Linked DNA regions of Arabidopsis thaliana. The protein of the gene in region 3 interacts with the protein of the main gene of each other region in a biochemical or structural test. Each region holds a gene or a part of one and is shown on either strand. Other genes may lie near its edges.

Region 1 (4,746 bases), on a different chromosome or scaffold from region 3:
AAATGTCATTAGATTTGTCGATTTAATAATCATCACGAAATTTTATTTATTGCAACTTTATACCCATATATATACCTTGATTTGATGCTTGAGAAATTCACCCAAGTCATATTTGTTTGTCCTGATTCAATGTGCATTAGATTTCTAATTAATGCCACTAATTATAATATTGTATCCTACCTATTAATATTAGATTAAAATTGTCATATTAACACAATAATACAATATATTCGTACTCGTATAATTTTTTTGTTCATAGAATATAAGTGATGATTAATAATCAAAATGCAGTGATGGGTCTTTTGTTGTCTGCTAACTTAATTCTGGCCATAATTTAATTAATTCTATGATAGAAAATAATAATAATAATAATAATTTCACGATTCGTTAATCTACAGCTGTGTTTAGCTGTCATACAATTCAATTTATCATTTTTCTTCTTCATCACGTACGACGTATACACAAACACGTGATATAGGCATATTATTGGTTCGTAATTCGTAACTTTCATTGATAATATAATCGATAATGGTGTGTGTTTAATACCAAAATTTACAAGTTGTAATAAAAACAGCAAATCGCTAATGATGTGTGTTTGATTAATACCAAAGTTTACTAGTGGTAATGAAAACAGCAAAACAGACTGATAACTAATCTATGCACAAAACGTTACAACACACATTTTTTGTTTACAAGTAGCCTTAAGTTGACACATTAATCATATACAAATTTAAACAGAAAAACAAGAAGTGGCAAAGTGAAAAAAAAACAAAAAAAAAATCCAAAATTGGTGAATCTGCATGAATCTAACGGTTGGAATTGATCGACGGTGAAGCTAAGTTTCTATGGTGATAAAGTCGTCGTTAGAATCTTCAATAGTCAGTTCATCAACGACTTCAGTCATATTCGGTCTCTGATCTGGATCTTCTCTGGTACATCTCACACCGATCCTTAAAACGTTCTCAATTTCCTCCTCCATAATTTTATCTTCAGCGGCGGCGGTTACCACCATCGGATGAAGCAGATCCATCCAACCACCTTGTTCCAATGCGGAGCCTAACCACTCAACCAAATTTGCCCCACCGGCTCTGTTCAAACCAGCGTATTGAGACGGGAATTTTCCGGTCAAGATCTCAAGTACCACGACTCCGAAACTAAATACATCAGATTTCGCAGAGACGGTTCCATCACGATCCGCTTCTGGAGATTTAAACGCGACGAGAGATTGAGATTGAGCGTCGGGATTGATTAGTTTTTGAAGTCCAAATTCGGAGATGAGTGGCTCGCCGTCTTCCGCAAGAAATATATTGCTTGATTTTAGGTTTCCATGTGGTAGGTTTAGAAACCCTAATTCTCTATGGAGATACCACATTCCCCTAGCGATTCCTTGAATGATTTTGAGTCGAGAAGGCCAATCTAATTGAAATTCTTCGTGGTCTCCGTGTAATCGGTGAAGCAAATTCAAATTAGGAACAAATTCGAACACTAGCAATTTCTCGTCTTGTCGGAAATGGTAAGCTAGGGGCGTTAATACGTTCTTGTGTTGCAAGCTTCCTAGTTTCCTAATCTCCTTGTCGAATACGTCAACACTCACTTGATTCATTACCGTCACACGTTTCACCACTACCGTGACACCGTTTGAAAGAACCGCTTTGTAGGCAGATCCCACGCCTCCGCTACTTCTTGGACGGTTGCTTCCACCGCCGGGATTACCAAGCACGTGAGCCGCCGCTTTCATCAAGTCTGATAAACGGAAAACACCTTTTTCCTTGTTCACCATAACTAGGTCTGATGTCCCCGCCACTCCTTTATTCAATTCGCCGGACCGACTGCTCCTACTCTGCCTTGAGCTATTTGATCCCTCAACAGTTACCTGTCTCAATCATATCAAAATTTTGTGTGATTTTATAGGTTTAAAAACTCTCATTTGAAAATGTGAAAATTACGTGTAGTGGAAGTAACCTGAATTTGTTGGTCGTCACTATTGTCTTGTTCAGAGGTACGACGTGCCTTCTTCCTCCGTCTCTTCTTTTTCTTTTTTCTGAAAGCTAAGGAGACAAGGACGACGATAAGAAGCACTCCTAATGTGCTGAATGCTAGAAAGTATTTGCTCTTATTTGCATCTTTCATTGTTCCTTCTATCGTTATGGATGCAGTCGAATTTTTTGGTTGTGGGCATGGAGTGGATAGCTTGGCACCGCAAAGGCCAGAATTCCCCGCAAAAGTCTTCGCGTCGAATTTCAACAAACCGGGAGGTATTTCTCCGGTTAGTTGGTTGTTTGATAGATCAACAATAGCTAAAGTCGTTTGTGTGAAATTAGGTATACTCCCGATGAATTGATTATTTTCGAGGCGTAACTCAATGAGATTTGGCAATGTAGTTGCCAATGAGATAGGAATGAGACCAGAGAAATGGTTGTTTGACAGCCAAGCTTTCTTTAGCGACACCATTGTTTCGAAATAATCAGAAGGAATGTTACCAGAGAATCGATTTCCTGATATGTAAAGCGACTTCAGAGCGGTTAATCTGTTAAACTCGGGTATGTCACCAGAGAAAGAGTTGTTCATTATGCTTATGGTGCGTAAAGATGGTAGGTCTTTTAACGGAGCGACATCAACTTTTCCTGATAGACCCATTTGTTCGATCTGGAGGCCAAAGACAGAGTTTTTGTTGCAGAGTAATCCGATCCATCGTTGGCTTGCTCCACAAGGTTCTGACTCTGGTGTCCAAGAATCAAGAGACTTGGTGTTGTTTAAGGACTTCTTGAATTTCAATAAAGATTCTGATTCGGTTATCGAATTCGCAGAAAGTGCTGTTAGAGATAGCACGATTGGCCAGATTAGCCAAGCCACGGCCATTTACTTAACCGGAGCTAGGCCGCCGGGAGTTTCAAGCAACTCTTTTTTTTTTTTGATTAATCAAAGTAGTTTTTTTTTTTTTTTTGGTGATTCGATTTACTAATTTTTCTGTATTCCTTGTCTTGTTTCTCGCTTTGTCTCTGTTTTCTCTGTCTTTTGTTTTTCTTTGTCATTTGTGATCCATTGGATGAGAGGAACTTAGGAGCTTATGGCGCGAATGTTCGTTGAAAGAGTCAAGAAGATTGAGAAAAGCAAGAGCGAATAAAAAATAAGCTAAAGATATGCATTTTTGGTTGGCCCATATGAATAATGTTGATTTTAGTTTCCAAGCCCAAACTTGGACAAAGTTGATTATCGTTTCTATAAATAATTTTTAAACCGTAGAAGTGACTTAATTACAAGTATAAGTGTTGTAAGAACAACTATCAAGTAAAAGTGTTGTAAAACCAACTATCAAAACTATATTTTTTACGTGTTACGTGTGAAAACTATTAAGTGATACTCCAAATTTTGCCATACTACAAGATAACGCATGTAAATAAATTTTATGGGAAAAACAAATGGTTTTGGCATTAGGACCAAGAGCATATAATCTTAAAACTCGTACAACATTTGGTTCAGTTCTAGCTAACGTGACCTTTTAAGTGGACCACTTCATCATTTGGATTTTCCTCCTGATGCTTAGTTATGTCGGATTTCTAATTTACTCACTATAGCATGACAAAAAATGTATCCCTATGCCGAAAAAAGAAAGAAATTTGATAAATGTAAAACAAATTGACGCCACCAAATGTAATCATCAATCAGTTTTAGCTTTTACAGTTCCTAACTATTTCCAAATATGAGAATATCGAAAGAATAGTTATAAGTTTCTTATGTATCATGAGTAAAATACTCTAATACTCAATTACTCATGATATTATATGCAACTAAACAAAATATTTGTCTAATCTATTAATTTTCTGTAGACCATGACATGTATTCTAATGATTTGACTTAGTGTCCTTGTTGTATTTCTATCCGGTTTCAATTATGCAATTGTTGAAAAAATGTTATTCCTGTTCCGCATGTAATGGATACTTATTAATATGCGATAATCTTTAGGCACATATGTTATTGTCATAGTACAAGAGGAGCATGTGAAGAAGCTGCAACATTTTGGTGTTCACATCCAAAGTATCTGTCGGTGTCAAAGAACCAATTTGTTTTAGTCATTGTTGTAAAACGGACCTACATTCGTAGTCGTTACCCCTAAATTTTAAACAAATTTTATGTTTAGTATTGTCATACGTCAATGCAAATGAGTTGTATAATCTTTCAATATTGTCTTCTAATTTTATTTTATTTTCTGATAAGTACCATTTTATTTATGAAGATAACGACTGTACAGAGAATTCCCACCACAAGCTCAAGCTGCAAGACCAAACTTACCCGAAGACAACCTGTTACAGAGACACGCTAGCTCGTAACACTAGATAGAAAGGAAATCTTACCCAGCTCAAAGATTAAGTCTGAAGCACACCTAACCCAAAACTGTTGACACCATCTTGATTATGTCCATATATGAACTTAGGTCTCAAAACAACAACTATTTATTTGATAAATGTTGATATACTCTATTGCTTAAAGGAGAGTCCAACTTCGAGTGGTGACCGGAAGGTTTCGCCGTTGCCTTTTCTTTTTTGCCGTTAACGTTGGTTTGGTAGTCTTAGTAGAATCTTCTCACAATCTTGATTTTTGCATATCAAATCTGTTAGAATATGACATTCCCTTATTTTGGACATGATCAAATATGTGATCGAAACCCAACTTGCGCTTCCAACAATGTAGATAATCTTCATGTGAAATAGCGAATATTATTTGGTCTTTTGTATGTATTAGAAAATG
Region 2 (5,896 bases), on a different chromosome or scaffold from region 3:
GCAATTATGCAGATATGATTCGCTTTTTAACTGTCTTTTTCTTTCATATAAACGTATAGAATGTGCGTGTAATTCTTGACTTTGCATATTGTTAATGTTATCAAACCAAATCATATCACTATATGTGATTCTGACTTTGATGAAGCTATTGTGTGAACGTTTCCATTTGTAGGTATAAAGTGTGACTTTGAATCTAGTGTGAACCATGTATACATAGATTATTGCCGTTTTTATATTTCATGGACGGTCCACGTCCACGTGGTGTTTCCTTATATACACAAACACGTCGTTTCTTTGACGGAGAGAACAACTTCATGCCGTTTTCTTGAAAACACATTCTCGACGTTTCATCATCCATTGAAAACGAAAGTAAAGTTCCGTTTAAGTTTTGGCAACATATGAACTACGTGTTGTCTTTATGAGAGACATTTCTTCTTTTTTTCACTTTACCTTTTCCTATCAGTAGGTCAGGTGTGTGTGCAAAACAAACAATGAAACTAGTTTGCATTAATGAAAATTTTTAACTTGTGGAGTTGGATCCAATAATAAGATAAATTTCATTCTCAAACATGAATTCCCAAATTTCACACATGAAATCTCCCAAAGTGTTCCCTCTATTCAACGCAACTAATCATTTTTTATGTAAAGAACTTTGAATTAACCCTAAGTGCAGTAATAACTTCTTACACAACAAGCCTATACAGTTACAGAGACACAACATTTCCCTCCAAAAAACCTCTCTATTATACAAAAAAACAAGAATCCCTCTTGATTCAAGAAACAGATGCATGTTCTTCTTCTTCTTCAGATTCATGTATAGATTTCATCTAGGACCAGAGAGCTCCATTGCTTGCACAAGTAAACTAGAGTCATCGGTAAGATCAGAGTATCTGTCTGAAGATGACATCAATTCATTTATCCTGTTGCTACATTTTGAAACACTGTCTGATCTTTGAGAAGCTTCCCATTTCTCTGCAAGTCCATCTCCTTCCAGCATTCGAACAACTTCAGACATTTTTGGTCTATGTCCTGGCAGGTACTGTGTGCACAACAAAGCTACTCTTACCATTTCGTCTAACTCAATCTCATCGTAGCTCTTCTTCTTCAACAACTCTTTATCCACAAGTAGCTCAAGTTTCTTCTCTTGATGAATCTTTTTAACCCAATCAAGCATCACACCTTTCTGGTTAGCCGCTTTACCAAACTCAAAAGCTCTTTGTCCGGTTACAAGCTCAAGAAGAAGAATCCCGAAGCCAAAAACATCTGTTTTCTCAGAGGATTGACCAGTTGAGAGATACTCTGGAGCAATGTGACCCACCGTGCCTCTAACCGCGGTTGTCACATGAGAATCTTGATGATCCAAGAGTTTAGCTAAACCAAAATCGCCAACCACAGCTTCACAGTAGTCATCAAGAAGTATATTCGCTGCTTTGACATCGCGGTGGATAATCTTCGGATCACATTGCTCATGGAGATACACAAGCCCTCTTGCAGCTCCTATGGCTATCCTCTTCCTTATGCTCCAGTCAAGAACAGGTTTTGCTTTCATTCGAGATGCAACGCTTCCATTAGACATATAAGGATAAACTAGAAGCTTCTCAGTTTGTGTGATGCAGAAACCGTAGAGTCTTAAGAGATTTCGATGAACAGCTAAACTGATCATTTCAACTTCTGTCTGAAACTGAATCTCTCCTCCCAATGCTCCTCCATCTTTAAGCCTTTTCACTGCAACCACTGTACTATCTCCAAGTATTCCTTTGTATACATTTCCATAGCCACCTTTCCCCAATAAGTTCTTACTGCTGAAGTTATTGGTCGCAATCTGAAGCTCCCTGAAACCAAATCTCCTCAGGTTTCCAAGTGAAACTTCCTCATGATGATTCCCATCTGTTGAATAAAAGAACTTTCTTTATAAAAAAAAAAAACTTTATAAGATTGTTCTGTGCAAGTAATAAACTGAGTAAGATCAAACCTTTAACATCAAAGAATGTGTTTTGGTTATGTCTTTGTCTCCACCAGAGAAACAAACCAACAGCAATGAAGATTAATGATACAGTCCCAACGCTGGATCCAACAGCGATTGCCATTTTGTGATTCCTCGATCCACCGGCGTATAAAGGAACTTAAAAAAGAAAGCAGTTTGTTGTTAGTTAGGTATGATCATAATACTAAGATTGAAAGTTTTAAAGGAAGTTCGTTATTTACCTCCAGTTTGATTCAAGTTCATAGACATAGGTATCAATGTTGTTCCATTGCAGTCTGGTTCGGTACCCGTTGGACATATCAGCGGGTTCCCAACGATGCTGTAATCCGAAGGGAAACAATGAAAGGTTATCATACGGACAAAGAGAGTGAAAGAGTGAGACATTGTCAATAAATCAAATTACCTAAACGTCTTTGCAGCAAATCTTGGAACAGGACCACTAAGATTGTTGTATGATAAATCACTGGAAACAAAAAAAAAAACAGATCAAATCTCAACATTTCATGTCTCTACATATGAATTTCTTTACTGGTTAATGTAAACTGAAGATTTATTAGCTTACAGAAAGGCAAGTTGAGTCATATTAGATAGTGACAGAGGAAACACTCCAGAGAGAGAATTGTTGTTAAGCCTCCTGATGATACACAACATGACATATCAAGATCACAAATTCCTTATAAAAACAACACAAAATTTAAAAGATCCATAACAAATTTTTACTATTCTTACAGATATTGCAGGCTTTGTAGATAGCCTACTGAAAAAGGAATTTCACCGTGGAAGAAATTATCAGAAAGATCAAGAGTCTCAAGCCTCGTAAGCCGACCAATCTCAGCAGGAATTTTTCCTTTTATGTTGTTGTTCTGCAACAGCCTGTAAGAGGAAAAAATCATCAAGAACACACACACACACACAAAACAGAAGAATTTAATCAAATTTTAAACTTAATAATCATTTAGTGAACAGTAAGTACTTACACAATCCGAAGATTTGTTAAGTTGGTAATGCTTGGAGATAGTGTACCAGATAAATTCTGACTTGGTGTGCCTCTGTAATAAAATTTATATCATTGTTTTCCTTGCTTGCTCATCAGTGTAATATACAGTATAAGTGTATCAATGTAAAATGTGAAACTTACAAGCCAATGACAAAGTTTTCAGAAGAACAAGTGACCATTGTCCAACTACAAGGATCAACAGCATCTCTATCCCAGTTATCAAGAACACCATGAGGATCATGTAATGAAGCTTTTATGTCCATCAAAGCTTGCACTGACGAAAATAAAAAACTCCCATATTAGTTTGGATCAAGAAGAAATATATACTTTTATTTGAATTCCCATCAACTAAAAATTCCAGAAAGACCAAATATCAAACACTTCATCTACGAAAGTGACAATGTAAAAAAAAAAAAAAGAGAGAGAATCCAAAGAGTGAGACTTTACAGTGAATATACCTTCAAAGTTAACACCTTTAGGAGAAAGCAATCCGTGAACAGAAGAGCAGAGAAGGCATAAAAATCCCAAGAAGCAAAAGAAAGATCTTGTTATCATCATCATCATAACAATAGTACTCTCCATTGTTGAAACAGAGGAATGAGCAGAAAACAAGATGTACTCAGCTTCCAGATAATTTGGTATTTGATGGAGAGAGAAAGACAGAGAGAGTGAGATTGGAAGAATCAAAAAACCAAATCTCTATCCTTTTTTCATTTCAATTTTGGTTAAAGTATAAAAACATTTCAACATCAAGATGAACCCACTTCACCAAAAGCATAACCTTTATTTTAAAAAAAACTATTTTTTTGTATGTCAGAAACAAGATATACAAACTTTATAGAGATACCAGATTCATTGGTAGTCTAAAGTGAAATTAGAATAGCATGCTTGTCGATAAAGTTTGTGTGTGGGGAGACCGTTAAAAAAGTAATAAATTTATATTAAAAATTTGTAAGAAAAGATATTATAAAAATAATTTTGCCCATATTGTTTCTTGTAATCGACAAGAATAGTCAGTAAAGCAAATCTATATTTTGTGTATTTCAAAAATTTTGAAGGGTAAAGCAGGAAATTAGATTACTGTTCTTTTGCTAGCTGCCACCCTGTCATGTTTTTGTCTATGGTTTCTAATTTTAGTTTAGAATATACAGTGTTTTTGTTACATTTTCCTATTTCTTAATTTATTTCACATTACACTTACATAGATTGTTTTTCGAGTGTTGAAATCTGATGAAAAAGAGTTGTTAAGTTTCAAGGGTATGATTAAATCACATTGTTGACTGATTGCTTGGTGTAAACGGAACCCAACAATCCATGGTTGGTCATGCATAGGCTAGACTTTATTAATTCCTCCGTATATAGAATGTTTTTGTATGCAATTTTTTTTTTTTTTTTTGATTAATATGTTTTGAGAATGTGAGAACTTCGATGAGAAGATTATACTGTATGAAAAACTAGGCTCAAGATACTTCTGTCTACTATATTGATTTTGTTGCCCACTCAAATTTTCAGCATCTTTGTCTTCTCGATGTGTGGAAATACGAAGATATTAGTACAAGTATTGAAGGATAAGCTTTTTTTTCTTCAAAAAAATGTTGTAAGTTAATTATTTATAATAGTCTTTTAAAAAATTTAGATCTAAAAGAAATAAATTCGATAAATCCCACTAAGAGCAACGATCACATTTAACTTCCATCAGGAAAACAAATCTGTATAGATAACAAATTTCAGAATACAACACCTTTTCTTAATAGTCAAAATGCAAATATTTTAACCCACTCTTTTTTTATTTGACTACTACAAGATTTATATTCACAATAAGATTTTCAATATTTTGTAGTGTGTAGTAATAATAGATGTATAAGATAACCCAGTATCCAAGTCCAAGACATTACAATTTGTCCAAACCTCGTGTCGTTTTCATGGGTTTTTGTCTATGTGTGAGTTGGCAGTAATATTATGACATGCATTTGCATTTGTTCGAAGTATATACTACTATATGATCTTAAAACGAATATGGTTTACCTGGTTAAGTGAAATACTTAATTATCATCATTCATTATAGTTATGCTGGCTTTTAAAGATTTCAATCATCTGAAATTTTGGAGAAGTTTTTTTATAATATTACATAAACTAGTAAATATATCTTGTAATTTCATTTTTCCCTTAACCAAATTTTTGAAACTTAACGTCAAATTATCTTGTTTCGAAAAGTTGGTTAACAGAAAAATTACACAATAATATTTGCTTAGATTCTGATTTCGATCAACAAAGTACGTAATATGTGTTTACTATATCAAGAAATGTTGTTTACTTAGTAAGAATACATGTGAATCATTTATTTTTCTTGTAATGGAGCACACATTAAAAATGATTTTGCAAGGTTCTATTTATTTAACTATATATATTCACATTCGTACATCATCGTTATCTTCATCAATGCGTACCGACCTGTAAACCAAAAGGAAAGAAACAAAAACAAATATTCTAAATTTGTGGTGAACAAACAATATATAAAATTTCCTTGTTCAAGAACTACTTTCATTCCTAGTCAAGTTTTTATAGTTTGGTCTCCACGTGACACGGTTTCTTAAAACTCGATTTATGAGAAACAATCATTAATATTTAATGCTTTTTCTCGTTGATTTGACGTTTGATGGTAAATGGGTTCTGTGACTTTCAGGGGAAACAAAAATGAAAATCATAAATTTTTATAAGATTACAAAACATGACATGAACTATTGTGCAGAATGCAGATAGGGAAAAATGGTTCCCAACTTGAGTCCTATGCCTAGGGCACTGAAGCTAAATTGTCTCAACTTCAATCATGTTAGGGAGACTGCATGATTGGTTATATTAGATTATTGGCCATAGTTTTATATGAACTCACGAAAGTTTTTTTCCCGTGATTACTA
Region 3 (6,387 bases):
GAGGAGATTATCAGCATGAGGATGAGGAAGAGAGCGGTGCTGATTTTTCGGTGGCTGTTGGATCGACGGCGGTGGCTTCGAAGGTTATATTTCCGGCGGAGGATTTTCACCGGAGATGAATGTATTACCTAGGGTTTGTCTTTAATTTAAATATATCTCCGTTTTTATAATAATGTTGAGAAAGAGAATAAGTATATCCAGCAGACGTATACTATACATGTAGAGTTGTCGTGAAATATTTGAATGAGATATATGCATGTAGTTATTGGTTAATTATCATACTAGTTGGAATTAACTGAATTTACATACGAATCCAAATTAATAAATAAGTAAAGGATTTGATGATCCAACACCAGCCATTATCCTCTATTTTGATTTCTTGGACAAGAAGAATCAATCAAGCAAATCTTTTCTAAACCCTAGAAATCGGTTCCATCTCAATTTCTATATACAATTTTAATTTATTTTCGCTGAACAAAACAGGAAGAAAAAACGATTGAATTTTCCAAAATTATCTCACCATTGTTGGACTTGTATTCCTTTTGAAGAATAAAAATTAACCGACACTGTTCTTTTAAGTAAAGTTTATAAGAAAAATTAACTATATTATTAACTGTTATGATCGTTTAAGCTCAACACAACTAAAGACAAAAAAACAAAAACAAACATCAAATTACAAACAAAAAGGTTATGTTCTTTCCAAAGAGTAGTGATCAGTGAACAAGACCAAACAAAAACCCTCGTCTCTCTACCTCTCATGTTCTTCACATCCTGCAATTACAACCACACAAATAAGTCTCAGATCAATAAACTTATTCAATCTCAAATCTTTAACAATCAAATTCTATTCTGAACTGAATCAATTGATCATAAAAGATCGAGTTCAAAAATACCTGAATCTCGGGGAGATTCGAGTGTTGTTACGTGTAAACGAGAGGGAGGAGGAAGAGAGGAAGCAGCAGGAGAAGGCGAGCCGAGATTGCTCGAGGGATTGCTGTTTTGTAGCCAACCTTCTTGAACTTGAGAAGCAAACTGAAGATTCCACAGGACATCTTCAATGGAAGGACGTTCTAAAGGGTCTTTAAGGAGACACCTTACACATATCTCCATCATTGTCTTCAGTGATTGGTCTGAACAAGCTCTATGGACCGTTGGATCCACCATGCTCCTACGTGCTCCATCATCCGCTGAAATGCTTGCTTGTAACTACAACAAATAAAAAAGAGTTTTTAAAGTAGATGATAGCGATTCCACATCAAGCTACATATATATCGAATGGTGTTACCTGCTCTTTTAGAACATCGACTTGACTCTTTGCTCTCAATGGTCTTCCCACTATAAGTTCAAGCAATATCACTCCAAAATCATAGATATCGATTTTATCTTCGTCTTTGATGCTGTTAAGAAACAGAGGATTAAACCATATAAACCGGTTTACAAGCTGATGAGAAACAGAGGATTAAACCATATAAACCGTTTTTGATTCTTTTGAGAAACAGAGGATTAAACCATATAACCGGGTTTACAAGCTGATGAGAAACAGAGTAAAGAAGATTATTACACACCTTGGAGTGCCTTTAGGTCCGCTCCGAGATCCTACTTGCCCCACCTTAGAAAGGAAAGCAAAAGAGATTCAAAATTCAAGAAACAAAAACATTCGAACTTTTGACATCGTCATTTACCTTTCCAAGACCTTCCACAAGCAATGGAAGATTATAGCTACTGAGTTTCGCCGCAAGGTTATTGTCAAGCAAAATGTCTGTCATTTTAAGGTTGTTATCATAAACACCAGGCACAATACCGGTATGCAAGAACTGGATCCCTTTTGCTACACCTATCGCTACGCTTATGCGTTGTTCCCAAGTAAGCAATCTTCCCATGTGCCCATCTAGCACAGCAGAGACAAGAACAATCCGATTTAGTTATTAAAAAATATATAATGATCATCTTCATTCTTAAAACACATGATGTTTCAGTGTGGTACCAGAAATCCAGGTCCTGAGTTCTCCATTTGGGACATACTCAAAGACAAAGAACATTCTGCTGACTGTTGAATCATCCAAGTAGCACTCGAAGCAGTGCCCGAGCACACTAACCAAGTGACGGTGCCGCAGTTTAGCGATGAGCTCAATGTGATGCATCAAGTTTTGTGTGCTGCAACTTTTCTTCATTTTCAGACACCTAATTGCCACAAAGGATCCATCTTTCAATCTCCCTCTATAAATCTGAAAAGAACAATGAAAACAAAAATCTTGTTTGATTCAACTGTTCAAAAAATGGAAACTAGCTAAAGAAAGATTGAAGCTTCACTGCTGTACCTGTCCTTGAGAACCTTCACCCATGAAAGCAGAGGATTCAAAGTTATTTGTTGCATACTCGAGCTCCTCCAGTGAGAATGTCCTGTAAGCTGGAAGACCGAGCCCTCCTAGCTTCATTGTTTGAGAGATATACCCTTCAAAGTATTGCAGTTACAGCACAAGTTATCAATGAAGACAAGTTCTATGTAATCTATGTGACAATATGTGAGAGATATTTTATCCTCTTACTTGCATCTGATAGTAGTTTCGATGTGTACCCCATTGAAGCATTCTCTCTAATCAATCTTGGGGAAGATTTCGTCACTGTTTTCTTAGCATTTAATCTCCTAAGAACCACAAATAAGGCACCGGCGAGGAGAAGTACCCCGAGAATGCTTGCGGTTACACCTAAAGCAATACCCACTTTGGAAACTTTGTTCCTCCTCTGTGGTAGGATTCCAACAGCAAGAGCTTCATTACTACAAAAAGAAACTGGACGTTGATCTTCATTCGTAGTAGCCAAACAGTTGCTTGCATAGACAACATCTCTGCTAGTGCCGGAACTCGGTTTAAGGCAAGTAGGCAAACTTCCGGTAAGAAGATTTGATGACATATCTACAAACATCAGCTGTGAGTTGCAAGAAAGATTTGCTGAAAGCCGCCCGGTGAGTTTGTTGTGTGAAATGTTCAAGTAAGTTATCGCGGGAAGAGACATCAAGGAAGTAGGAAATGGACCAACGAATGTATTGTAGGAAAGATCCAAATGTTGAAGCTGATACAGAGAACTTACTTCTTCAGCTGAAACTGCAGATCTAAACTTGTTCTTGCTGAGTATAAGAGTAACCAGCTTGTTACTTAACCGAGGAAACAACGGTCCAAAAGAGTTTCCTTCAAGATCAAGCACTTGAAGGTTTGTCAAATGGCTTAAATCAGGCAAAGCTCCATTAAACCGGTTATTAGCTAAAGCAAGAACTCTAAGACCTGACAAGCTACTCAAAGAAGAAGGCAATGACCCATTAAGCACGTTCTTTCTCAAGCTCAACACAGCTAAACTCGGCAAAGAATCAATCCAATCCGGTAACTCACCAGAAAACATATTCTCGTCGAGTATAAGCGTCTGAAGAGTAGCAAGCGACGAGAGTTCATGAGGGATTGGTCCAAAGAGGAAATTGGAACTCACATTGAGAATCTCCAAAGAGGATAAACGGTTGATTTTCTGAGGTAACCAACCCCATAACCCAAGGGACACAAACGTGAGAACTTTAACATCAGGGAGCTTAACAAGAGTAGTAACAAACGAGTTTATTGAGAAACTCTTTGGTAACATATGAGTTCCATTGTCTCCTATAATGTGAAGCTGCGTTACACTATCTTCATAACACACAACGGTTAGCGAAGGGCTTGGCTCAGAATTGCAGAAATCTGTATAGTTGTTCCAGCTGTTTAACACTTTGGGATAGTAGAGAAGCTGTTGCAGCCTCAAGAGGGTTTGAGATTGAGATGATTGTAGCTGTGTAGAGCCATCAATGGAAGCTAAAAGCAGAACCAGAAGCAGTAACGGCATGCCACAATAGAGTTTCTCCATAGCCACACAAGACCATAAAACACACACAACTACTAAATAAAATCATATAAGCATCATCATCAAAACCTGCAAAGAGAGAGACACATTTCATTCAAGAATCACATTTATATATAATGTACTTACAAAACAGGGTCCACTCTCAAGATCTTGATATTTTAACCACTTTCTCGTTAATGCATTAAACAGAAGAGAATCTTAGAAATCAATCTTCAAACTAAAAAAATATGATTTTTGCATGTGAATTCCAGAAAAACAGGAAGAACTCACCACATGTGTTACAGAATCTCCTCTTTAAGACACCTTGCAAGAAGAAAAGATGCAGGAAACTTTTGAGCACAAGAGATTAAATTTTATTTTTCCTGGAAACAAAATTTGGTTTCATCAGAGTAAGAAGAATGAGAAAATGAAAAGACAAATCGTTTCCTTTGAGATGAAGAAATACCTCTGCAAACTTATGAAGTAACTGTGAATGGAATATCGATTTTATCTAAAGAAACAAAAAAAGTAGCAACTTGATTTAAAGAAGAAAGTGAGAAAAGTTCCCAAGAAAATCCTCTGTAAGAGATGAAAGTTCCTCAAGGAGCTTTAAAAACATTCAAGATTCCTTCACGAGTGATTATTATATCTTATAAGAATAAAACAGAGGATACTCTGGGAACAATATTAACCCAACAAACTTTTTTTATTTTTTAAATAGACAATAAACAAAAACAAATTCTGTAAAATCAATGCAAAAACATTTTAGCAACCATACGATTTAGTAAATTGTCAGTGGCTAACGACAGAGAGTTTGGTCCTCCTCTCTAAGTCTCCATCACGAGATGAAGACAACGATAAATTCTTTTTACAAAAATAATTTTAAAACAAACAAACAAAATAGAAATAGAATTTTTTTGTCCAAAAAATAATCTTGTAAGTGTTCACATGCATTTTTAACAAATTAAAAAAGAAAAAAAAAAAAGCGAATCCAACAGGGTCTGGCCGACGTTTTTTTCTGATCTTTTTATTTTTGGTTGTCTCACTATTTATACAGTACACAAAGTAAATTATTTTATCAGCATTAAATATGTTCATATTATATTATCACTTTCAAAAAAATAGGGACCAAAGAGAAATCCACTCCAGCCAAAGCTGTGGCCAAGAAAAAGTAAAAAGACAAAAAAAAAAAGAAAGATAAAAAGGTAATGATAAGAGAAATATTCTTTTAGGGTTTAGGCCTTTAGGGGGATGATCTACAAATACGAGTCTGAGGCAAACAAGTCTTTATATAGTATAGATTTAATTTTGATATTTTTTTAAAGTTTCTTATATGAATATTAATTTGATTGAGAAAAGTCTGTCTATCAATTAATTGGGTATGCTAAGTTAAACAAGATTAATCAAGAATGAGTAAACAAAACCAAGTAAATTAGTGTAACTCTAATTTTGTTTTGAATTTTGATCATGTAAGAAAGCTGAAAACAAACTAAACATAAAAACCACAACAACTACACCGGAATTTTATCAAAAACTAGGCTTAAAACCAAACTGAAAGAAAAAAAAAAGATCCATCCAAAAACTTAAATCTGAAAGAGGTAATATATATATTTAAGGTGAAAATAAAAAGAAAGCGAAGTTGTGACACATACTGTAATGTAAGCTTTCGCACGAAGGCATCTCCATCAGAAAGGTCACACCAGACTTTTAAAGTGACACATGTAGGTCCCAATCTTCTCCGACCTTTTCAAAGTTCAAGAAAACAATCTTAATACAACAAATTAGCTCACATATAATATGATCAATAAAGAATAACATGCAAGGAATTGGAAATCAAATTAACAAACAATTTAAACTAAACTCGTGTATTTAATCATATTAAATTGAAACTAAGGCATGATGTCTTAATCTCTTGACTACTCTCACGTGCCATGAGTGATTCATCTTTTTATTAATCTTGTAGTTTTTTTTAATATGATTCATAGTTGCAGGTATAAGAAAACAAGTAAAGTAAATGCTTACAAACATAAGAAAACAAAATTCTGTGAAATTTTAGTCCACCTGGTTTTATATAAGCATCTTCTTCTGTTAGATTTTTCTGTGCATCGTTTAGGAATAAATATTTAATTTTAATTTATCTTATTTTTTTCCTTCATTTTGCGTGTTTCATTTTTTGGTTAGTTTTGTTTTGTATCTGTTGGTTGCATGTCTCAATAGTCAATGTCGTCGTATACAATCATAGTTTAAATAAAACTAAAAATTGTTGGTGCAGCTTATAATCGACTAGCCAACTTTAAACAATACGAAATAGAACGTGGTAATTTCCAATTTCGATTTCTTTTTCCTTAACAAAAAAAGATTGATCTTTAATTTGGTAGACGAAAAGAAAATTAATAACGGCTAGAAATACATTTATACGACTATTTTAACTGGTAGTGAAAATTGATCGACTGGCAACTATAAAATTAATATATTATGAAAATTTATTGGCTAAGTGAAGTAATTTGAGATTATTTCATAGAAATACAT

Evidence for each region.
Region 1: the proteins of AT3G03770 (region 3) and AT1G72460 form a complex in vitro, tested with the Arabidopsis thaliana proteins (one large-scale study listed by BioGRID).
Region 2: the proteins of AT3G03770 (region 3) and NIK1 form a complex in vitro, tested with the Arabidopsis thaliana proteins (one large-scale study listed by BioGRID).

The regions. Positions count from the first base shown.
Region 1 is NC_003070.9:27,277,623-27,282,368, reverse strand, and holds AT1G72460 (Leucine-rich repeat protein kinase family protein), read right to left. Parts: upstream 3,029-4,746; 5' UTR 2,860-3,028; coding exon 1,963-2,859; intron 1,874-1,962; coding exon 836-1,873; 3' UTR 539-835; downstream 1-538.
Region 2 is NC_003076.8:5,221,931-5,227,826, reverse strand, and holds NIK1 (NSP-interacting kinase 1), read right to left. Parts: upstream 3,894-5,896; 5' UTR 3,564-3,893; coding exon 3,440-3,563; intron 3,256-3,439; coding exon 3,123-3,255; intron 3,034-3,122; coding exon 2,962-3,033; intron 2,858-2,961; coding exon 2,714-2,857; intron 2,619-2,713; coding exon 2,547-2,618; intron 2,448-2,546; coding exon 2,388-2,447; intron 2,304-2,387; coding exon 2,206-2,303; intron 2,123-2,205; coding exon 1,973-2,122; intron 1,888-1,972; coding exon 824-1,887; 3' UTR 539-823; downstream 1-538.
Region 3 is NC_003074.8:944,555-950,941, forward strand, and holds AT3G03770 (Leucine-rich repeat protein kinase family protein), read right to left. Parts: upstream 4,685-6,387; 5' UTR 4,325-4,684; exon of another isoform or gene 4,242-4,324; 5' UTR 4,150-4,241; intron 3,949-4,149; 5' UTR 3,883-3,948; coding exon 2,547-3,882; intron 2,453-2,546; coding exon 2,319-2,452; intron 2,226-2,318; coding exon 1,985-2,225; intron 1,889-1,984; coding exon 1,683-1,888; intron 1,610-1,682; coding exon 1,566-1,609; intron 1,398-1,565; coding exon 1,286-1,397; intron 1,207-1,285; coding exon 894-1,206; intron 772-893; coding exon 749-771; 3' UTR 523-748; downstream 1-522. Other genes in the region: LBD20 (LOB domain-containing protein 20), read left to right, coding at 1-119.